6 linked regions of the Mus musculus genome follow. Each later gene encodes a partner of the first gene's protein in a complex. Links are inferred from orthologs where the notes say so. Each region holds a gene or a part of one and is shown in the gene's direction. Other genes may lie near its edges.

Evidence for each region.
Region 2: Igf2bp1 (region 1) and Elavl4 share a complex: the UniProt entries of both Homo sapiens proteins name them as parts of the TAU mRNP complex. The link is inferred for Mus musculus from reciprocal best matches to the Homo sapiens genes IGF2BP1 and ELAVL4.
Region 3: Igf2bp1 (region 1) and Ybx1 share a complex: the UniProt entries of both Homo sapiens proteins name them as parts of the coding region determinant (CRD)-mediated complex. The link is inferred for Mus musculus from reciprocal best matches to the Homo sapiens genes IGF2BP1 and YBX1.
Region 4: Igf2bp1 (region 1) and Hnrnpu share a complex: the UniProt entries of both Homo sapiens proteins name them as parts of the coding region determinant (CRD)-mediated complex. The link is inferred for Mus musculus from reciprocal best matches to the Homo sapiens genes IGF2BP1 and HNRNPU.
Region 5: Igf2bp1 (region 1) and Dhx9 share a complex: the UniProt entries of both Homo sapiens proteins name them as parts of the coding region determinant (CRD)-mediated complex. The link is inferred for Mus musculus from reciprocal best matches to the Homo sapiens genes IGF2BP1 and DHX9.
Region 6: Igf2bp1 (region 1) and G3bp1 share a complex: the UniProt entries of both Homo sapiens proteins name them as parts of the TAU mRNP complex. The link is inferred for Mus musculus from reciprocal best matches to the Homo sapiens genes IGF2BP1 and G3BP1.

What each region holds. Positions count from the first base shown.
Region 1 is NC_000077.6:95,967,945-95,971,444, reverse strand, and holds part of Igf2bp1 (insulin-like growth factor 2 mRNA-binding protein 1), read left to right. Parts: intron 1-653; coding exon 654-776; intron 777-1,460; coding exon 1,461-1,596; intron 1,597-2,523; coding exon 2,524-2,646; intron 2,647-2,962; coding exon 2,963-3,082; intron 3,083-3,500. UniProt on the Homo sapiens protein: RNA-binding factor that recruits target transcripts to cytoplasmic protein-RNA complexes (mRNPs). This transcript 'caging' into mRNPs allows mRNA transport and transient storage.
Region 2 is NC_000070.6:110,284,035-110,288,071, reverse strand, and holds the start of Elavl4 (ELAV-like protein 4), read left to right. Parts: upstream 1-1,237; 5' UTR 1,238-1,578; coding exon 1,579-1,602; intron 1,603-4,037. UniProt on the Homo sapiens protein: RNA-binding protein that is involved in the post-transcriptional regulation of mRNAs. Plays a role in the regulation of mRNA stability, alternative splicing and translation.
Region 3 is NC_000070.6:119,291,714-119,296,013, reverse strand, and holds the start of Ybx1 (Y-box-binding protein 1), read left to right. Parts: upstream 1-1,500; 5' UTR 1,501-1,650; coding exon 1,651-1,810; intron 1,811-2,208; coding exon 2,209-2,272; intron 2,273-4,300. UniProt on the Homo sapiens protein: DNA- and RNA-binding protein involved in various processes, such as translational repression, RNA stabilization, mRNA splicing, DNA repair and transcription regulation.
Region 4 is NC_000067.6:178,327,816-178,331,315, reverse strand, and holds part of Hnrnpu (heterogeneous nuclear ribonucleoprotein U), read left to right. Parts: intron 1-54; coding exon 55-223; intron 224-469; coding exon 470-724; intron 725-969; coding exon 970-1,151; intron 1,152-1,376; coding exon 1,377-1,448; intron 1,449-1,908; coding exon 1,909-1,962; 3' UTR 1,963-3,500. UniProt on the Homo sapiens protein: DNA- and RNA-binding protein involved in several cellular processes such as nuclear chromatin organization, telomere-length regulation, transcription, mRNA alternative splicing and stability, Xist-mediated transcriptional silencing and mitotic cell progression.
Region 5 is NC_000067.6:153,463,661-153,467,160, reverse strand, and holds part of Dhx9 (ATP-dependent RNA helicase A), read left to right. Parts: coding exon 1-129; intron 130-1,383; coding exon 1,384-1,484; intron 1,485-2,092; coding exon 2,093-2,306; intron 2,307-2,448; coding exon 2,449-2,543; intron 2,544-2,747; coding exon 2,748-2,821; intron 2,822-3,500. UniProt on the Homo sapiens protein: Multifunctional ATP-dependent nucleic acid helicase that unwinds DNA and RNA in a 3' to 5' direction and that plays important roles in many processes, such as DNA replication, transcriptional activation, post-transcriptional RNA regulation, mRNA translation and RNA-mediated gene silencing.
Region 6 is NC_000077.6:55,468,517-55,472,551, forward strand, and holds the start of G3bp1 (ras GTPase-activating protein-binding protein 1), read left to right. Parts: upstream 1-1,235; 5' UTR 1,236-1,285; intron 1,286-4,035. UniProt on the Homo sapiens protein: Protein involved in various processes, such as stress granule formation and innate immunity. Plays an essential role in stress granule formation.

The sequences.
Region 1 (3,500 bases):
TATTACAGATGGTTGTGAGCCACCATGTAGTTGCTGGGAATTGAACTCAGGACCTCTAGAAAAGCAGTCAGTGCTCTTAATCACTGAGCCATCTCTCTAGCCCCTGGTTTTTGTTGTTGTTGTTGTTGTCTTGTTTTTTATACAGGTTTATTAGGGTTCAACTAGTATAACAATGCTATGTTTGTTTGAGGACATTGCCTAGGTTAGCCTAGAATTTCTGGATCCTCCAGCCTCAGCCTTATTAGCTGGGACTATCGGCAGATGCCTACAGGATACACTGGGTGTCTTTTCTGCTCCCTTACCCCCTTCAACTTAGGGTTAGAGCCTGGGCCTCATGCATGCTGGACAAGCTAAACAGTACTACTGCGCTAAACCCTCAAACACAACTGCACATATATTTTGAGTGTGTAGTTGTATGGATTTCGATTTGTATGTGTTGATAATGTACCTGCTGACCGTGATCACAGTTGAGATAATGCTGTGGCTCCCAAATGTCACCCTGCCATCCTCATCCGCCATTTCTGTTTACAGAACACCGATCTCTGCTGGGCTTGTATCCTGACACTTGGCTCAGGGTTTTTTCTGGGTTCATCACATAGTTGGGTAACCTTTGTTGACATCATTGACCGAGCTGTCCCCTACTTCCTTTCCAGGGCAGATGAAGTTCCCCTGAAGATCCTGGCTCATAACAACTTCGTCGGGCGACTCATTGGCAAGGAAGGGCGGAACCTGAAGAAGGTGGAGCAGGACACAGAGACGAAGATCACCATCTCATCGTGAGTTTCTCCGTGATTCCCTCCACAGCAGTGCCGAGCTCAGGCTGGGGTCACAGCAGTGCCGAGCTCAGGCTGGGGATGAGGGACCTGCCACTGGGCCTTAGCACCTCCCTCTTGGGACAATCAAATCGGAGACGTGAGGAGAACATTTTGTCCTGCTCAATGAGGGCTGGAGCACCCTAATACCTGCCCTTGGTACAACATTCTAGACACACGCATCCCCACGAAAGCCTGCAGCGAAGGTCTGGCCTTTAGGTGTGTCTGCCATTGTACAAGGTGTACAAACCTTGGTTCTTTTCAGCTGTGGCACACAGGGCTGCCTCTGAAGAGCAGTGACAGGAGTGGGTTAGCTGCCTGTAAGCAGCCTGCCTCTCCATTCCTTAGAGCTGTTGCAGAGTAACTATTGCACAGTAGCACATCAAGTTCTGCCTGCAGCCTCTGTGTGTCTGCTGACCACAGCCTTTCATGATAGCCTGTGTTCCCACAGACGGAGTTGTTGTGAGTATGCTTAGTTTCCTTGCCCTGGTTACCTGAAGCCTGGAGATAGGGCTTCCCTGCCGGAAGTTAGACGTCCTTTAGAACTGCTGGACCAGTAACTCAGTTGTCTCCGGCTCTGCCCCTAGCTGGGGTCTGGCTCCCGCCCTGTGCTGCCCACTGCTTGACGTTGTCTTGCTCTCTTGCCAGGCTCCAGGACCTCACGCTCTATAACCCTGAGAGGACCATCACTGTGAAGGGCGCCATTGAGAACTGTTGCAGGGCCGAGCAGGAGATCATGAAGAAAGTTCGAGAGGCTTACGAGAACGACGTGGCCGCCATGAGCGTGAGTGCGAGGCGGCACCGTCTGCGTGTGTTGTTGGGAGTTGAGTCTAGGCCTTGGAGACAGGCGAAAGTGATACCTCTGGAGGAGCTATATCCCAAGCTCCTCTTGCAGCCTTCTCTGAACTTAGCAAGGGTTTTGCTCGCATCTATCTCAGGACACTGTGTGCGTCCCAGGTTCCCAGAGGCTGGAAGAGGGCATTGGATTCTCCAAAACTAAAATTACAGATGGTTGTGGCCCACCATGTGAAGTCCTTGAAGAATAGCAGTGCCCTTGATCAGTGGGCTACCTTTCCAGCCCCTTAGTTTGTGCTTTTGGACTTAACTCATCTAAGTTTGTTTCTGTGGAGGTGGTGGTGCTGGGGATGAAGTCTAGCGTCTTGTACATTGTAGGTAAACAGTCTGTTGTTGGCGTGGGTAGCTGTATTTACTCACAAGGGCTCGTTACATGGCTGCTGGGTTGGGATTGGGGGCAAAGTCTTGGGTTTCATGGATTCTGTACTTTAACCACTCTGTGATCTGTGTGATTTGATCTAGTTAAGCTTGTATACTGTAGGAGATGAAGGATCCCAACTTCAGCTTTTTTCTGAGACAGTCCTGCGCTCTGCTCTGTAGGCTAGAACTGAATTCACTCCTGCCTTAGTTTCCCGAGTGCTGGCCTTACAGGCATGTGCTACCACGATCTGCTCATAGGATTTTCCGTTTTTTTAATGTGTCTGTGTGGGTAGTTCGGCGTGTGGGTGGGTGGTTAGGCGTGCATATGTAGCAGCTTGAGGGGGACATTAGGGGTCATCTTCTTATTTCATATAGACATGGCTTTTACCAAGCCTGGAGTTTGGTGGGTGACAGACAGCAAGACCTAGAAATCCTGCCAGAGCCGCATGCTAGGGTTCTGTCAGCAGGCTGACCTGTGCCTCGCCTCTCTCCGCAGTTGCAGTCCCACCTCATCCCTGGGCTTAACCTGGCTGCTGTAGGTCTCTTCCCAGCTTCATCCAGCGCTGTCCCTCCTCCTCCCAGCAGTGTCACCGGGGCTGCTCCCTATAGCTCCTTCATGGTAGGTGGAAGGTCTTGTTACCCAGGGCTTGGGACATTGGCAAGAGGGAGGGAAGAGAGGCCTCTGCAGCCAGAATGCCAGCTACAAGGAGAAGAGCCCAGCTGAGGCGTCGGCAGCAGCTTTCCACTTGGTTTTAGCTCCCTTTAGTTGGAAGGGAGAGAAAAAGAGTTCATGGCGTCCTCCTATAGCCCAGGGCGCAGCTAGGTATCTGCACCTGTTACTTTTGGAGGCTGTATGGCAGCCCAGTGGAGGGGCTCCTGGGTCCTGCCTCGCCCCCTTCCCTGGGCCTTTGGTAAGGAGTCCCCTGTTCTGGCAGCAGGCTCCGGAGCAGGAGATGGTACAAGTGTTCATCCCCGCCCAGGCTGTGGGCGCCATCATTGGCAAGAAGGGCCAGCACATCAAACAACTCTCCCGCTTCGCCAGCGCCTCCATCAAGGTGATTTGTTCTTGAGTTCTCCTAGGTCTAGTATCAACTCCAGCCCCCTTCACACGTCACACTGGGAGTGAAAAGCCCAGTCCCTTGCGGGTGTCTTCAGTGCTTCTAGGTTTCCAGGCTGGACAGGTAGCAGGACTAACACACAGCAGGCTGAGTGAGATTCTGCCACAATAGACCTCCTCCCAACCCCATCCTTATCGCCTGCTGCCGAGTCTCAGTGTCACACTGCCTGGTGTGGCAAGTCTGTCAGTGTCCTTGTGTGGGAGGCCAGGAAGCAGGTGGTGCCTCACAGTGAACACTGCCTGTGCTGGTTGTCTTTTAACCATCCTGGATCCAGGATCCCAGAGAGCAAGGAAGCCAGTGCTGTTAACCTCACAGGTTTCTTTCAATGGTGTTTAAAGCTTTGTGATTTCCTCCC
Region 2 (4,037 bases), on another chromosome or scaffold:
AAAACCAGCGATACTGGGAAATAATAAAGTTAAAATGTAGAATTATTAGCACATTAAAGTGCTTTTGTTGTATCTTTAAGCCTAGAGGCAGATCATTAAATATGCATTTCGCTAGAAAGCAACTGTCAAGAAAGATAAGGTGGTTGAAAATACTCTCCACAGAAAAAGCCCTCTATCGGAGGGATGGGCTCCTGTATCCCCCAGGACCCAGAAAGGAAGGACACTCCCACTGCGAAGGCTTGCAGTCCTCCAATGACCTGCAGTTGTGACAGGACTTTTTGAGCTGGAAGAAGGTAAAAGGTAAAAAATACAAGCATGGCTGTTGTTGCTTCAGCCGGGCTTTAATTACCAGACACAAGAAGCAGTTCAGAAATCTGGTCTCTGTTGTTGTAGAGGTCACCAGATCATTAACATCGTCAATCTGGCAGTAGCTAATTTAAATAGCACCTGATGTTGCAACGCCTCCCTTCGTTTCCCCAGCCAATCAGAGTCTGGCTTCAGCTGACAGATGGTCCCATAAATGGATGTAAAAAGGGGAAGCTTCGAGCCAATTTCAGCAAGGCTCTGTTCAGTTGTTCTTATCTACATCCTAGAATCGGGGGTTTCAGCTCACTGCGCCTTTTCTTCCTCTCTTTTTTTTCCCCCTTTCTTTCCCACCCCACCCCCTCCCAATAATAGATTTACTTTACAATCATCCACACTGTGGTCTGTGGATCTTTAATATATATATATATAAAACAATAGTAGTCATTTTTAAGTATATTCTGAAACCTTTGCAAATTTTAAGAGAAGAGTCGAAGCGCTGCGAGACCCAATATTTGCCAATAAGAATGGTTATGGTAGGTATGCCTAGATATGTAATCTGTTGTTCGTGTTGCTAGAGGGAAGACAAGCGTCTACACCTTGGCCAGTCTTAATGCTTGCACGAGAGTTTAGTTCTCTGCTGCTCTCTTGTTCCTTCATTTACTATATCTTTTGTGTAGCGTGCGGGTAGGTCCTTTTTTTGAAAAGCAGTGGGGAGAGAGATTGTCATTTTTAACAGGTCGTTGTCAGTTTTCCCTTCCACATAAAAGCCGAGGGTGGGGATGGGCTGAAATAATTGCTGGTTTGTTGAAAGAGATTCTATTACTTGAGACCATCTGAGGGGGTGGAAGGGGGTTTCTTTTTGTAAGAGAGAAGAGGCTTGTCTACATGCCTGGGTTTTGTGGGGCATTGGGTGGATGCAGCAGGGTTAGGAATCTCTCCATTTCTGTGCTGGTGGAAATGTAAACCTCGAGAGGCAGCTCCTGGATGCTGAACGTTGAGATGGGCAGTTGTGTTTCTGGGGACTGCGCAGTCAAAACGGCAAAGAGAGTGATTTATTTGGGCTTCAGTAAACGCTGCATCTTGTATTTCAAAGAGTTTCCTGTCATGACCTCATAAAAAGAGGAGGCGGCTTGTATGTGTAGCGGTGCCTGGCGTGTTGAGTTGTTGCTTCCTTCTCTGGGCAGCAGCTCTGTAAGAAGGGAATGTCAGCTTTTACATAACGCTCCTTTCTGCTTTTGACACACTGTGTGAGGGTCCATCTTCTGATCACAGATGGAGTGGAATGGCTTGAAGATGGTAAGTGAAAAGAAGGCAGCTTGGAGGTTCCAGCCGTGTGTGTGTGTGTGTGTGTGTGTGTGTGTGTGTGTGTGTGTGTGTAAGGATGGTGGACTGCATCGTAAATCACTATTCTGGTATGCGTGTGTGTGCATGTGTGTATTAGTATTTCTTTTTCTGAAATTCAGAATCTGCCTCTAAGTATAATGGCATTGCATGCACACAAGGCATATACTGTCTCTTCCTTCCATCAAACACATTTTAGGCAAGCAAGGTTGGTGTCTTTTTTTGACAATCACAATGTCACCGTCACTGTTGGCTGGCGTGTCCACCGCCTCTGTGAGCCTTCAGCCGAATTACACGACTGTTAAAGTTAAAGGCACATTTCTTTTTCAGTCTTCGTGCTAGGAGTGATGGGGAAGGCAGGGAATGAGGGGTGGAGGAGGTGAGATTCAGTACCAGCAGATGCAATTGTGAAACAGGACTTTGAGATGTGGATAGGGAAGTGGAAAACCTTTCTGCCGAAGTAGTAAATCTATTTTTAGCATCGTCTTTTTCTGGAAAAAGAAACAGGGAAACTCCTTGAGTGTTGTTCCTGTCTCCTGGTGTTGACCCTAAAGATATGGCACAAAATGGCACGAATTGATGCCATGAGTGCCCACTTTGACTTTGAATTTTCACCAGCAATATATTTCAGGGGATTGGGGACTGGGTAGTGGGGAAAGGTATAAATTCATTTTTTTTTTTAAAAAATCAGAGAAGCCCAAGGAGGACTTTTCACTCTGCATAGATGTTATAACAAAGCTATGGTCTTTTTCCCATTCTTAGAGGATTGCCTTTGTCTGGCTGCTTGTTTTGATGGGTGTAAAACAAATAAGATTAGACCGAGCAGCCCAACTGAAAGCGATAGCTGGGAGGAAAACCCAATGAAAGGTTGCCGGGGAAACGAACAGAGGCAAAGCCGAGCAGGGAGCAGGTGGCTATCATGAGAACACACTGCAAACAGTGTAAAAAGGGAGGAGGGGGGACAGGACCTCGATTATCTTTGCTGTTCTTTGTGACTAGCCCAACTTTAATTATTCTTCATAAATAGGTGTTAATTACATTTCTAACTCTGGTTTACAGTGATTTTTCAAATCTATTTTTAAGCATCTGTTCAGTCTCTCCTCTTTTTCTTTTTGTTTGTTTGTTTAAAAAAGAGAGAGAAGGGGGAAGGGAGAATAGGGTCTCTCTGTCTCTCTCTTTCTCTCTCTGTCTCTCTCTGTCTCTCTGTCTCTCTCTGTGTCCCTCTCTCTGTCTGTCTCTGTCTCTGTCTCTCTCTCTCTCTCTCTCTCTCTCTCTCTCTCTCTCTCTCTCTCTCTCTCTCTCTCCCTCTCCCTCTTTCCCTGCTGTGAAATTGTACGTGCAAAAAATTACAAGAAATCTTCTGAGACCATTTGAAAAAAATGTAAATTATATTGAATGAAGTTGACAGAAGCATAGTAGTAAATTCCCACAGCTGGTAGGTTCTGCAAATGATTTCTCCAAAATTTCCAGCAATTATTCATAGGAAAAATATAAGTAGATTAGCTTTATACTAGCCAGTGATTTTTGTGTTAGGTGATACTGGCATTTTTACTACATTGGATGCTGCTACTGTAGTTTCAAAGAGTTCATCGTATCTCTCATTTTAGATCTGGAGTATAAATAAATGTCTTTAGGGTATAATAACTGAACAACCTTTTCCTCCACTGCCCATTCCTCCGGCCACAGAATCCATCCATACTCCCCACTTGCAAATGCATTTTGTCTTGAGTCTTGGCATAAACTGAGTGAGAAGGTGATCTTTTGTAAGTGTCTCTTGATGTGTGGTGGGACCCATGCACATGCTGGATGTCAGGCATCTCTCACTCCTCTCTCTGAGTGCTTGTCTCAGGAGTGTCTTTTTCCCAGTGATGCTGGGTCCCAACCAAAAAGCACTAACAGAGAGGGTACTTGAGTGAATCGGAGCAGCATAAATGAAACCTGAAATAGTCCTCAGTTGTGGTTGCTTCCTGGTGACAATAGAGATACATAATCGAGGAGCTAATTTGAAGCCCAAAAATGAAAGATTAAGAAACTCAAATGTATTGCAAGGGTGGAAAATATAATTGACTTTATTGAAAATCCTCTTAATTTGTTTTTTCTCCATTACAAATCTGCACCATTGGCCCCACCATTTTTGTTTTTCCTGTGAAAATGTTTTTTTGTTTTGTTTTGTTTTGTTTTCCGGTTGGGGGAAGTATTATTTTGGTTTTACTCTTAAGGTAAAAAAATAAACATATTTTTGTCCTATGCTTGAACCTTGTTTTTCTCTCGTTAGTGCATAACCACATATAATCTATTAAAATAAGATAGTTTTTATTATCAGTAATAAAGTTTTATTTTCTGAGAATTTTCTGGCAGGTTTTAGTTAGGGGAAATGGTTTCTATAAAAA
Region 3 (4,300 bases), on another chromosome or scaffold:
TCCAGTCTTAACATCAGGACTGCAAGTGATCTAACCACAGAGCCACAGAGCCATCTCCACAGAGCCATCTCTCCAGCCCTGGTCTTGGTGGTGGTGGTGGTGGTGGGGGGGGGAATGAGACAGGGTTTCTCCTGGCTGTCCCTGAACTCACTTTGCAGACTAGCCTGGCCTCGAACTCAGAAATCCGCCTGCCTCTGCCTGCCAAGTGCTGGAATTAAAGGCGAGCGCCACCACAGCCCGTCGGATTTAGCGTTCTTTTTGTATTTCTAGTTCATGCTTTTATTTACTGGGAGCTAGGAGTATGCCACAGTGCTCGTGGGGAGGTCAAGCTACAGCTTACAGGAAGAGGCTATCTTTCTCTTTCCATTATGTGGAGCTGAAGGCAAGAACTCAGGTTTGGCCAAGTGCCTTTACACACAGAGCCATCTCAGGTCCTCTTGTTTCCCCCACTCCCATCCCTTCTCTCTCTGCAGCCCCTTCTCCAAGCAGCAGCCTTTTCTTTCTTTAACGATGCTACTCCTTACTTACACCGCGAAAGCTACACTGCTCACCGGTGATCAGGGGAAGAATCTCAGGTTAAAAACACCTCTGCCCACCTCTGATTCCTACTTCGATTGGTTTCCTTTATTTGCAGTCTCCGTGAGACCCTATCTTTTCTAGGCCTTTGCACAAACCTACCTTTGCCTGAAATGTCACCACCCAACTCTTCCTGCTCCCACTCCCCAAACGCTGTGCTCACCCAACCAAGAAGTGGTGGGCGTTTAAAATTCCACCATCAGAAAGCAGAAACTAACTGGCAAACTACTTCAATCCCCAGTCAATAGTAGATGCGTAATAAAGAATGAATGAAGGTAGGCGGAGGGCTTCAGAAAGAAGGCAGCGTGTGTTTTACAGTGTATAAAAACAAGGATAGCAATCCTTGTCTACAGTGCTTAGTTTATAAAGTCAAAAACCCTAACATCCAATAAATGTGAGGCGAAATTAAATCTGATTTGTGGCCAGTATGAAATACATTTCCTCGGACGCCGGGGGAAACGATCACCCCCGCCCTGAACACGCTGAGTCGTGGCAGCTCCAGCGCCTGCGTGGTCCCTCCAAGGTGACTGGATCACCAAAAGCCTGACCCATTAAGGAGGCCCCGGCGTTCACCCAGCCGTGGGAAGGAGCCCCTTCTAGGAGGCCGGAGTAGGCCCGGCGATCGCGGCCCACGTGCGCGACGAGCGCAGCCCCATCTGGGAACGTTCCCTCTGCGCGTCCTCCCGGTACTCTATGGTGCTCACGGCCGAGGCTCTCATTCTAGTTCCGGTCTCTATGGCGGCGGAGGCCTGAGAAGCTGTGGGTCGGGCGAATTAGTCGCTAAAGATACCAATGAGAGCGCAGGAGCCGCGGAGCGTGAGCCAATAGGCGCTAGAGACCCGGTCAGGTGGTGAGATGGACAACGATGCGGACCAATGGGGGAGGACGAGGGCGGGTCTATCGCGGGGCTTATCCCGCCCGTCCCGCCATTCTCGCTAGTTCGATCGGTAGCGGGAGCGGAGAGCGGACCCCAGAGAGCCCTGAGAGCCCCACCGCCGCCGCCGGCCTAGTCACCATCACACCCGGGAGGAGCCGCAGCCGTCGCCGCCGGCCCCAGTCACCATCACCGCAACCATGAGCAGCGAGGCCGAGACCCAGCAGCCGCCCGCCGCCCCCGCCGCCGCCCTCAGCGCCGCCGACACCAAGCCCGGCTCCACGGGCAGCGGCGCGGGTAGTGGCGGCCCGGGTGGCCTCACATCGGCGGCGCCCGCCGGCGGGGACAAGAAGGTCATCGGTGAGCGCCAGAAGGGACCGGGGATGGGGCCGCGGGCCGGACCGTTAGGCGACGCGGCCCGAGCCACGGACTACGCGGCCGCCCCTCCCCCCCGAGGCCCGCGGCGCGCGCACACCGGGATCCCGCCGCTGCTCCGGCCGCCGCCGCCCCTCCCCCGCGCCCACCCGCCCCGGGGCCTCGTGCTGGGGTCCCCGCCCCGCCGCCTACGCAGCCGGAGGAGCGCGGGCTGCTTCCCCGGCCCTCACGTGCTCGCCTCCCGGGCGCACACCCACCTCGGACCCGCGCTACCCGGCGCACCCACGTGTGCGGCGAGGGCGGCGGCCCGGGCCTGCGGCTAGATCCTGGACCGACTTCCAGGGCCAGCCGGTGATTGGACGTTGTTGTGCTTTGTTTTCCAGCAACGAAGGTTTTGGGAACAGTCAAATGGTTCAATGTAAGGAACGGATACGGTTTCATCAACAGGTGAGATGCCGGGGTGGAAAGCTCGCGTCCGCCTCCTGCATGGGCCAGAGCCACCGCGGGCATGACAGGGTGGGGGATTGGGACCCTGTGTTTCTTCCTTGGGTGACGGGATTAGCGGGTCTGTAGACTCGCTTTGTGTTGCTGTTAAGTACCGATCTTGAGCTAGCCTCAAAAAGCTTTGGCACAAAGCAGGTCAAGGCAGGCGCGTCGCATGAGCCATGCCTTAACAGTTACCTTGCATCAAACTGAGGCAACTCCAGGCTAAGCACGCTTTTAACCTTGACATCCCTTTCTGCTTTGAAATTGCTATGTAAGAATGTGACCCGCTAATTAACATACAGGTGATCTTTCACCTTGTTAACCTCTCGGGGAACGGGATTTGACATGTCAGTTGCCTGAGATGTTATCTGTACTGTAAGGTTATGTTGCCTTTGTTTAGACTACTCGAATATTCAGTCCATTTAGTACCTCGAGCACATTTTTCCTATAGACCTTCTGTAGCCAAAGAGGGCTCTTCTTATTTGTCCAAACGACGAGTAACGTATCTGAAAGGAAATGGTTCTTCCTCATTTTTTATTTCTCTTACTTCCTTGTCAGGGAATCATGCTGATCAAATCAATTTTTGTTATAGCTTGCTGGAGTGGCCATAAGTCCTTGGGAACTTAGCCTTCGTTGTATTTGGCTTAGAGTTGTAAACTATACCTTCATAGATCCAGAGAAGGGTTTGTAGACGGCGGTGGTAAGTGCAGGCGCTGCCTGCACTCTGGGCTCCCTTGTGAGCCCGGCATCTTTTTCAAGATGGCTGCCAAGGCTAGTGCAGTTGCATGGGTGTAGAGCCCCGCGAGTGCCAGCAGCAATCCTGGCCGTACAGCTGTGATACTTGGCGCCATTTCAGCATTTTCTCTTACATGCTCGCTTAGAAGGCGTTAAATAAGTAGATGGTGAAGAGAGCGCTACAGAGTGGCACAGTGCTCGTGAATGGGCAGCTATAGGCTTTTAAAATAACGGAGTGATGAAAAACATTCACTGATGAACCCCACACAGTCGTGGAAACACTCAAGCAAAAGCGATTACAATCACTTAATGGACTGTTCTCTACAGTTGCAATTAGAGGGAAACATTTTGTTTTTCCAGACTCTAGGATTTCTCCTGTCACGGGCAGTTTGCCTTTCTGACCATGTGTCCTGGGTTCCTTCCCCCCCCCCCCCCCCCCCGGGTTACTAGTGAGCAAAGAAAAAAAAATGTAAGGCTTTGGTGCTTGTGGGGTTGACGTCCTGGTGGCTTTTAAAGTGGTCCTTATTCCTGGTTGGGTTAAAATGTTCATCCTGATGGTCCCAGGTGATGCGGAGAATAGTCTGCTCTCACCTTCCAGAGGACAATTTTAACCCTCAGTCCATTATAACTAGCTAGCCCTCCTTAGCAGCCCTTCCAGTTAGGCAAATTGTGGTTTTTGTATGTGTTTAATACATTTTAATATTTGTCTGGGCTTGTCACATTTTTTTGAAGTAGTGTCTATCTAAGATGTGTATACCTCAGTTTTACATTGTACATTATGTAGGTTACAGCACTTACCATCAACTTTGTTGATCATCCTTCCGGACAAGTTAAATGTAAATTGGCTTTTGATGACTCTTTGTTAGACTGCCTTAACCTCAATTACTATTTAACTGCTTAAACTGTGCTTTGTTTCTAAGCAGGCCATTATGTTAATGCTGTGGTTTTTAAATGAGATACACTGTAAATTCTGGTTCCTGTGAGCTAAAGGTTTGTCCTAGTTAGGAAAAGTATAGGGTATGAAACAGTGGAAATAACTTGACTCCAGAGGTGGTCAACCTGTGTAAAATGGGAGATTCAGTTATTGCAATGCACTGAATTCTGGATTATATATTCTAGGTTCTTTAGCTATTTTATAAACTACGTGGAAGATTTCATTTCTGCCTTTAGAGAGAGGTTTGTTGACTGGTGAATTCTTACAACTTGGTCAGAAATCTTTGTCCTAAGGCTTTTCTTTTGTTTTTTTGGGGGGGG
Region 4 (3,500 bases), on another chromosome or scaffold:
CAACTGATAATTGGTAAGGTGTAACATTAACGTCTTTAACATTTTCCCCTCAAGACAAATGTGTCTGCTGCTGCCCAGAGAAGAAAAATGTGCCTGTTTGCAGGCTTCCAGCGGAAAGCTGTTGTAGTGTGCCCAAAAGATGAAGACTATAAGCAGAGGACACAGAAGAAGGCAGAAGTAGAGGGGAAGGACCTACCAGAACATGCTGTCCTCAAGATGAAAGGCAAGGAATTCACTTTATTTTTACTGTCTTAAGTACGGTTTGGGGATTTATACCTAGAAAATATCTTCACACTTAGAGATTATATTAATCTGCTAAATAGAAACTTGTATGGTTATTATACAAAGAATGTGATGAAGGCCGTGACCAGATAACTGAAAGTTGAAAGAATTAAACACATTCAGAGATAAAGTTTATAGAATTTACATGTTCATAATTGATTTATAAGTTTGACTTGATTCCCTGTAGGAAACTTCACCCTTCCAGAGGTTGCAGAATGCTTTGATGAAATAACCTATGTTGAACTTCAGAAAGAGGAAGCCCAAAAGCTTTTGGAGCAATATAAAGAAGAAAGCAAAAAGGCACTGCCACCAGAAAAGAAGCAAAACACTGGCTCAAAGAAAAGCAATAAGAATAAGAGTGGCAAGAACCAGTTCAACAGAGGTGGTGGCCATAGAGGCCGTGGAGGATTCAATATGCGAGGTGGCAATTTCAGAGGAGGAGGCAAGTTAATTTTGCCTGTTGGTATTTGGAATTTGAAAATGAATGAGTTTATTTTTTAAGTTAAATAGGAAGTTAGTTTCTTTGATAATTTGCTGCCATGTTTGACTAATACACAATGAGGGGAGTGTATTGGGTATACTTAAAACTGGGCATTGCTTACTTTTTCATTAATGATAAGAGATAACTGTATGAACTCTTCCTTAAATGTGTGACAGCTAAACTAAACCCTTTGTGCATTTATTTAGCTCCTGGGAATCGTGGTGGATATAATAGGAGAGGCAACATGCCACAGAGAGGTGGTGGCGGTGGAAGTGGTGGAATTGGCTATCCATACCCACGTGGCCCTGTTTTTCCTGGCCGAGGTGGTTACTCAAACAGAGGGAATTACAACAGAGGTGGAATGCCCAACAGAGGGAACTATAACCAGGTATTGATTTGCCCTGAAATGTTGTAGATGAATGGATGTTGGGAGTCTTAACTGGCGGCGTTGACATAGTTGTGAAACAATTTAGTTATTGGACTTTGCTTTTTCAGGTCATTAATAACAGCAGTGAGCTTGGGGAATAAGGGTTTCTGCTTACCCCTCCCTAAAAAATAGCCAACCATTGCTTGAGAGCTCTTAACAGATTTTTTTTTTTTTAAACTTTCATAGAACTTCAGAGGACGAGGAAATAATCGTGGCTACAAAAATCAATCTCAGGGCTACAATCAGTGGCAGCAGGGTGTAAGTAGTTTCTTAAATGCTTACATAAATTATGTGTTATGTTTACAAGATTGAGACGGAAGTTCTTACCTAGGAATTGAAGAGTTTTATACTTTAATAGGACAAGGTGTCTATAAATTGTTACTGTGTTATTGTTACTGTAACCATGGATAGGCTGGATTTTAACATTACTTTAGATAAAGTAATATTTAATACATATGGTTGTTTTACTACATGGTCATTTTTAATAGTTTTAATTACATAAACTAACCCTAAGTCTTGTGTTTCCTTTGGTAATGTGTATTGGTAAATAATATGGGTAATTGGTAAATTAAAATTAAGTCTCTGATCTGATGTAGAAATTAAGTGTGATAAATTTGTTTCCAGCAATTACTCTGAATTAGATCATTGTCATTTCCTAAAAACAATTTGAGTGGCTTATTGATGTTTTTTTCTTTAAAAACAAAATTTTCTCTTACAGCAATTCTGGGGTCAGAAGCCATGGAGTCAGCATTATCACCAAGGATATTATTGAATACCCAAATAAAACGAACTGATACATATTTCTCCAAAACCTTCACAAGAAGTCGACTGTTTTCTTTAGTAGGCTAACTTTTTAAACATTCCACAAGAGGAAGTGCCTGCGGGTTCCTTTTTTAGAAGCTTTGTGGGTTGATTTTTTTTTTTTTCTTTTCTTTTTTGTACATTTTTAATTGCAGTTTTAAAGTGAATCGTAAGAGAACCTCAGCATTGTGCACGATAAGAGAATGTGTCAGTATTTCAGGGTTCTACATTTTATCTGTAAAATGTGACTTTTTTTTTTATCACAACAAAAGTAAAATGTTGCTTTGTACCTGGTGTCTTTTATTAAGCATTTACTCCCCCATTTCTCACAGAGAATAACAGTCGGGAGTCATTGTCACAATAAAATAGCAATGTTAGCAGCCAGATTCATGGAAGGACTAAGGGGTCCTCATGAATTGCATTAAGATTCTGTACTGCTCATGATACACTCCATCCTCTCTAGACTGCCTGCCGGGTAATAGTGGACGGGTAATCTCTGACAAAACGGGAAGGCTATTTTTTTTCTGTTTGACAATGGAATTGGCATAATTGGGAATGAAGATAAAATTTGGAACCAAGATTGAGAAGATGGAGTGTATGTAGAAGGGCTGTTCAAAAATGTAAACTTGGTTGCATTATATGTGGAGGCTCAAACTTGTGAAGGTTAAATACCATAAAATTTTCCATTTGTTCTGCATTTTGATTCTGAAAAGAAAGCTGGCTTTGCCCATTTCTTATTAAAAAAACTTGTTGTAAATCCAGTTGTCTAATGGGATCTATATGAAGTTAGCTATGTCTGTATGCCCTTCTCCCACAAATACTGTATTACTAGTGTGCTTGTAGTAGTTAACTCCACCATCTTTGTAAGCTAATGAAATTGTGAGTCACCCATTTATATCTTAATTTTTAATCATGTCAGTTCTTGAATGGGTATCTCCTTAGCCTGCTGATTTCTTTTTCTTTCTAAAGAAAGTGGGTGGAGAAATTAATTTAGACGTTTGTTTGCAATAAAAAGAATTCATTTTACTCTTGTTTGGGATTCTCGCCATCAAGGTCTAAATCCCTTTATAGTATGACTCCCAAGAGGAGAAACTTTAAGTGTGTGCTTTCTGGACAGCTTATTCTTTACTCTGTACTTCGGAACATTTAGGTTTTAAAAACTTAAATGTATACTGATGATTGATTTTATAATATAAAGTTGAATTCTTCCCTTCCCCTCCCCCCAAGACTGCTTTTAACATTTATGAGGGGCAAAGGTACTGGCTGGGAGAAGTTAATGTTCAGTTGACCATGTTTATGAAATGTGAGTGGCTGTCCTCACCTGATAATAGACATATAATACATGAAACTTTGGGAACAGATGCTTTTAGAAGCCATCATGCAAGCCAGTCATTGATTTCACTACTACACAATGCTGCTAACTTAACTAGCTATGTGATAAATTAGATCCCCTAATTGTAATTTTATTGGGTTTGCACAGAACACTTAAATCTTGTAAAGGAGCCTCAC
Region 5 (3,500 bases), on another chromosome or scaffold:
ATGTGGTTTTGGCTTATCCTGAAGTCCGTATTGTTCTTATGTCTGCAACTATTGATACCACCATGTTCTGTGAATATTTCTTCAATTGCCCCATCATTGAGGTTTATGGAAGGACTTTCCCAGTTCAAGGTAAATTTTGTGTAAAGTGTGATAGGAAACAGATTTTGTGCTGAGTTTGAGTTGGAAAAATACCTCATTCAGTCTGTGCTGTGTAAGCACAAGGTCCTGATTTTAAATCCCCATCTAGCTTGTGTGTGTGTATTGTGTGACACGAGGCTTGTAGTCCTGGGGCTGGGATGCTGGGGTGAGGATTTCTAGGGTTTGATGGTTTATGGGTGAGCTCATGATTGGTGAGAAGCAATTTTGGAAGATAACACAAACAGGAATATACAATACACAAGAAAGTTTTATGTACCTCTGAAATAGAAGCTAATGTATTTCTTTGTTTATGGGTTTTAAAGTTATAGTATTTGCTGTGCTTCTCTTCAAAGATTTATAAAGAGATTAATGGGTGTATGATAGAGGATAGTCACTAAGGTTCTTACAGATGACAGTTAGAGATGTCTTTGTCTTTCTCTGAAGAGACACCATGACCAAGACATCAAAAGCATTTAATTGAAGTTAACAGTTTTGGGTTAGTTCATGATTATGGTGTGAGGGGGAGGCAGGCAGGCATGAATTAGTAGTAGCTGAAAACTCACATCCTAATCAGCAGGCACAGGAGTGAGGTACAATTTGAGTGGAAAGTTTATGATGGTACTACTTTAAATCCAAAGTTTAAAATAAGGGTATATACCCAAAAGGATGTTAATTAAGTGATAACTACAGATTTCATTCTAAGGCATTCTAAGTAATAAGTATAGATGTTTTTTCCTTGTTGAAATTTGATTCCCCAACTCTTAAGTAAATTTGGTAGTAATTGGTTCCTGAAGTGTGTAGTTCCCAGTGGCAAGGGAGCACAGCTTAACACTCAACAAAATTGGTGAACATTAATTTAGGTGGAAGTGTATGTGTCTTTGGTTTGCAATCTTGGGGAGTCACTTTGTGGTTGAAATATGCAAGATATAATTATACATTTCTTGGCTTATTAGAATTTCAGATATATTGATTGGTAGCATTCTTCCAGTTTATATGTTGAGATCTTGGTGGGGAGAGTGTATGATAAGTGTATAAAGAGGAAAGCCCAGCTGGTTTTGTAAGACTATATTCATGAATTACCTTAGTTAAATTTGACTATGAAATTTTACTGCTATAATTTCTTAGTTTGTGAAGACTCAAGTTGATAGGGATTAAAGGAGATTTAACTGTAGATTAGCGAGTGAATTTACAACTGTATCATTTGTAAATTATTGTGTACTTAACTAACTTGATTGTCCCTGACAGAGTATTTTCTGGAAGACTGCATTCAGATGACTCAATTCATTCCTCCTCCAAAGGACAAGAAAAAGAAGGATAAGGAGGATGATGGTGGTGAAGATGATGATGTAAGTAAATTTTTCTTTATACCTTCAGGACTAAAGAATTTTAATTATGAGAATATCTGATGGAGAACAGTTGTTTAAGTTGAAGCACAGCATGAATAATTGACATTGCAGGGTTGTTTAATTATTTGTGATATCTTAGTGACTATTCAAATAATTCCATAATCAATGATGGAACTGTTGAGGTTATATACTCCAGTATATGAAGTCTTTGTGTTGTGTTGCTGTATGTCAGAGTACCTGGAAAATTATTAGTCTAAATGGAATATTCTCCATCACATTTACATGAGATCCTTTAATTCAGTTCAGGACCGTTAATGTTGGGTATTTTATTTGAACCCAGACTTTGCAAACACATTACTAACTTTTAAAACTTTTAACTTAAAATTTGTTCATTTAAAGGAAAGTTTCATATTTATTTGGGATATTTACTGGGGGAGACATAAGACAGTTATGAGCTGCCTGACATAGATGGAAGTAACTGATGTCAATCTCTGACAGCATATGACTGTCACTTGTGTAGAAAAAGACATTTAGATGTCACTTGTGTAGAAAAAGACATTTAAGAGCCGTAATAAATGACCAAAAAATCATGTTCATTTTTCTTCTAGGCAAATTGCAACCTAATATGTGGTGACGAATATGGGCCAGAAACAAAGTTGAGCATGTCTCAGTTGAATGAAAAGGAAACTCCTTTTGAACTTATTGAGGCGCTTCTTAAATACATTGAAACCCTTAATGTTCCTGGAGCTGTGTTGGTATTTTTACCTGGCTGGAACTTGATTTATACTATGCAAAAGCATTTAGAAAATAATTCGCATTTCGGTATGAGTATTTTTTTTTTAGATTGCCTTTGAGTATTTTTTGCTTTTGTCCTGGATGATAATGTCTGTTGATTAAAACCATTTGTAAAGAACATTTGTTTTAAACTTGCTTAGGTTTTGTCCTTAACCTTTGTGTTTCATAGGAAGTCACCGGTATCAGATTCTACCTCTCCATTCTCAGATTCCTCGTGAGGAACAGCGCAAAGTGTTTGATCCAGTACCAGATGGAGTAACCAAGGTAAATATGGCATCACAAGGAGATCAGATGTGATATAGATGTTAACTATTAATAAATGTTCCAAGAGCTACTAGGGAAATGCTAAAGTATCAAAAATTATAGAAAAGTCTTTCCATATTTGATCATTTTTTTCTTTTTAATCCTGTTGCTGTATTGTTATAAGCAGAAAGTTTTTAGTGTAAATTTATACCATTTTTTTTTCAGGTTATTTTGTCCACAAACATTGCTGAAACAAGCATTACCATAAATGATGTTGTTTACGTCATTGACTCCTGCAAGTAAGTTCCCAAAACTTGTTATTTTCTTTTTAGTAAGGTATGTGTATCTGCATCAGGGTTTTGCCTGCATGTGTGTATATGTGTGCACTAATTGTGTGCATGGTGCTCATGTGGGTGCTGGGAACTGAACCCAGCTCTTCCGTAAGACAGCAAGTAGTTTAAACCACTAAGCTGTCTCTTCGGCACCTAATTGGTCGGGGGTTTTTTTGTTTGTTTGGTTGGTTTTTTTGTTTGTTTGTTTGGTTTTTTTTGTTTGTTTGTTTGTTTGGTTGTTTGTTTGTTTGTTTGGGTTTTTTTGTTTGTTTGGTTGGTTTTTTGTTTGTTTGTTTGGTTGGTTTTTTTTGGAGGTAGTTCCCCTTCAGACTTGTCTTTTCTTTCTCAAATACTATAGTTTCACACACCTACATACTCTCACACCTAGTTTTTAAACTTCATTGTCAAATTTTACTTTTATATGCCATACAGGCACCATGTGTTTGTATACACTGATTTTAGATTAAGAATATTTACCAGGTTTAGTATATAGCCAAAATTTACTTCTAACTTCTGACTTCTCATTATCATGGGATCTTTTATTTGGTCATCCCATTGGTTGTTTGCTACCTGAATTTTTCATGCTGTTTTTTGTATAAATACAATTCTTACTTAGCATGAGACAGTTGACATGAGGGTACTACTT
Region 6 (4,035 bases), about 40 Mb from region 1:
GGAACACAGACTAGTCTAGTTTGTGTTTAGCATTTGGATCACAGCTCTTAATATAAAATGCTCATGGTGGCCAGAAGGCTCACAAAACCCCCCCGAGTTGGGGTCAGCAGCAGACTGAGGTACTACTATTTGGACCCTGGAGCCTTTATGGGGGAACCTTAGGCGTGTCTGCCTAGGAGTTGGGTAAAGTTCCCATTTCAGTTTGAAAAGCATGTGACAATGGCTGGTGGTGACGCATCCTATAACTTTCGCCAGCCAGAGGGTGATCAAAGATGGGATGTTGTCTCTGCAATCACAAGATTGGAAAACCTGAAAACGTCCAGGAGCCACCCGGGCACGCCAGCTTGGAAGCCACCCGGGAACAAGAGCATTCCCAAACGCCAGGGAGGCTGCCTCGCGGTATGCTCTGGGGTGCCGACCAAGCCAGTTTCGCTGTCCTCGGTCGCCACTGCATTCGTGCTGAGTAATGCTAAGGGTCAGCAGCTCCTGCTCTTCCGAAATGCATGCAAAAAAAGTTTTGATGCGAAGAGAAAAAAACCAAACCAAAAAAACAAAACCCGGGAAACTGTTACTTAGATCCCGGGTACCAGAGTCGCCTGGGAAGGCGGGAGACCGGTCCTCGAGGACAGGATTCAACCTAAGAGGAAGAGAAAGGAAAGGGAACGGAAGACGCAGCTAGTCCATCCTCTTAACCGCTCCAGAGGGCACGGCGGCCCTGGGGCTGCCTTTGGAGAGGGCCATCCCTCCCTGTCAATCAGCTCCATTCGGTGTTGCGATTGGCTGGGGGCTTCCTTGCTCCCCGCCCGCGCCTACCTCCTAGTTGCATGGGGTTTACTTCCCCAAAGTACACGGGCCCCACCTTGTGGATCAACCGCTCCTGCCTGGACAGTGGGTTTCCGCCCAGAAAAAGAAATGTAAGCCAATGAGAACGGGTGCATGCAACTATTGGCTTGTCTGAGTGTCGCTCTCAGTGCATCCCGCCCTCATTTTTATAGACCATCTGAGTATTGGCGAGGTTTCGTGTCCATCTGGGCTCTAGCTCCTTCAGTTATAGGCAGATGCGGCAGCCACTCAGGAGCTCGGCCTCTAGACAAAGACGCTGTCCAATCATAGCCAAGGGGCGCGGTGGCGAGGCGGCCATTGGTCCCTGCATGCGACCGGGAGCAGCAGGTTCGGCTGAGCGCGGCTATATAGCGGGCGGCGGGCACGCGTGCCGCGGCATCGCGCGAGGGACGCCGCCACCTCCTCCCACGTAGCAGCCCTGTCCTCCCGCTCAGCCGCGCAGGTACTTGGGCCCGCGGGTGGGGCTGATCGGATGCGGGCCGGGCATGAGCCGAGCTGCGGCCGCGAGCGGGGCGCCCCGGGAGACCGCGCGGCGCGTCCCCACCCCCACCAACGGCCGGCGCGGCCTCCTGCCTGCGCTTTAGGGCCCGCGCGTGGTCCACCGCACCAACGGCGGGCGTCACGCGTCTGGCCGGCCCTGCGTGCTCCACGCGCATTCTCTGGCGCGCGCCGGCTCTTCCGGATGGTATAGCTGGGCCTGGACCCTAAGGAAGCCTTCGGATATGGGGATGGGGGTTGGGGGAGCCCAAGCTGAGAGCGTGATCGCGCCTCCCAGGGTTGCAGAACGGAGGCGCGCGACCCCGGGTTCAAGGGCTCAGTGGTGCAGAGACAGCCACGCCAAGACGTGATCTCTCCAATCCCCCCACTGTTTCCCCCTGCACTATGCCGAGAGTTCCCTTTTTTCCCGCCCTTCCCGGTCACCTGGGTGCAATCAGGTAGGTCCAGTCAACAGGAGAACGAGGTGGAATCAAGGCCCTCTGTAGGGAAAGGACAGGCATCTGTGCAGGCTACGTGGCTGTGGGACACCATCGGCCACTGAGCTCTTGAATCTGAGGTGCAAACCCCAGTATAAGAAGTCCCGTGGTGGCATCTGCGAGCCAGTGGGGGACTCCAGAGAAGAGATTAGGAGTGGGGTTTTGAATGACAAAGGAAGACTTAGCTTTCTTCGCACTTACATAGATAGATAGATGCGCCTCCAAGTTAGCTTCTGGGAAAAATAGAGAAAAATACAGTGAGTGTAATGTAATCGAGTGTGCCTCTCAGCAGGTCCGAAACGCACCTCGAGGTAACGGGAAATTCCCGCCAACAGGAAGTCAAACTCTGACATTAGATCTTGACTCTTCAAGACCCCTTTTTAACTTAGAATGTTTTAGTTGTGAATCAGAACAAACTTAGATTAAAAAAACCTTTGTTTGAGAAGGTCGTAAGTCCAAGGAAACAAAGTGTTTAAATTCTTACAAGAGTTGAAGTTAAAGTTTGAAATTGGATAGGACCGGCCCGGGCTTCAGTGCAGAGGTGGAGCACTTGGCATGGAATACAGGAAGCCCCGGGTTCAGTCACCAGAGCCACAAAAATAAGTCACATCTGAAATTGCTGGGGAGAGGATGGTGTCCAGTGTCCAGTTATTGTGCAGTGGGTCACAGTCACCGATTGGGTTTGTTGGCAAGCACAGCCATTAGGTCTCCTGCCGAACCATCGATGATCAACTGCCTTTTTTAAAAATTCTTACTGTGGAGCCCTTCCTGGCCTGGAATTCAAGAGGATCTCAGAATCTTCTCGGTGCCAAGAGTTAAGGTGCCTCCACTAAGCCCAACCGAGTAATTTATTTTAGTACTTACTTGGTTTGACTTCTACGGGTTGCAAAGCTATTTTCAAGGATCTGTGGTCAGCCTATCTTTCTATGCTGAGGATTGCCTTTAACCCCTGGCTAGAAAGCACGTTAAATGGCAGATGTTTCACATCGAAGACTACAACAGAAGTTTCAGGACTAGTTCTTGAGGGGCACATCCTTGCAAAAAGTTAAAGACCACTGACATTTAACAAAGTGGCAACGAAGAACCAAACGCTGTGGGGATGCATGCTGAATTTAACTGCCTTGCTTCTGAATATAACATTGTTTCCTTGGAACGGGTTCTACTTAACCTGCACGGAGGGGTAGGCGAATGTTAGTAATTCATCACCTTTTAAAATAAGGCAGTGACCTGCTTTCTAACTTGGGAAGTTTGAGTCCAGGTAGTGTTACTGAGGTCAGATATATCAAGGGGAAATGATCGAATTGAAGGGGATGGCTATTAATCTCATCCCCACACATTCAAAAGACTCTTGGCCTCAGGCAGGTGCTTAGTAGGATAGGGATAGATAGAAACTGACTCCTTAGCTCAGTGTCAGAAAGCAGTGAATTGAAGCAGTGACTGACCGCCTTGGCTGCTCCCTTCCGAGCAGGTCAGAGGTTACTGCTGGTGGAGGTGTCTTTTGAGCTAAGGTTCTAACAGGTACTACACTGCGCAGTTTCTTTTTCTTTTCTTTTCTTTTTTCTTTTTTTTTTTTTTTTTGTCTCGAGACAGGGTTTCTCTGTATAGTCCTGGCTGTCCTGGAACTCACTTTGTAGACCAGGCTGGTCTTGAACTCAGAAATCCGCCTGCCTCTGCCTCCCAAGTGCTGGGATTACAGGCGTGCGCCACCACATCTGGCTAGTTTCTTTTCTTTTAATTCACATTCTGGTTTTTAGTTATCAGCTGTCAGTATAGTGCCTGAGCATTAGATTTTTAGAAATGTCTGTTCTTGACCCTGCTTGAAAGCAGGTTGGCTTTTTTTTTTTTTCAAAATTGTCATCTTTTATATACTAGATTTTCCTGTATTTTTTTAAAAAGATTTTATTATTATATCTAAGTTCACTGTAGCTGTCTTCAGACACCCCTGAAGAGGGCATCAGATCTCATGGATGGTTGTGAGCTACCATGTGGTTGCTGGGATTTGAACTCAGGACCTTCAGAAGAGCAGTCAGTGCTCTTAACCACTGAGCCATCTCTCTAGCCCTTCCCTGTATTTCTGTTGTTGGTTTGTTTGTTTTGTTTTTTTGAGACAGGGTTTCTCTGTGTAGCCCTGGTTGTCCTGGAACTCACTCTGTAGACCAGGCTGGCCTCGCACTCAGAAATCCGCCTGCCTCTGCCTCCCAAGTGCTGGGATTAAAGG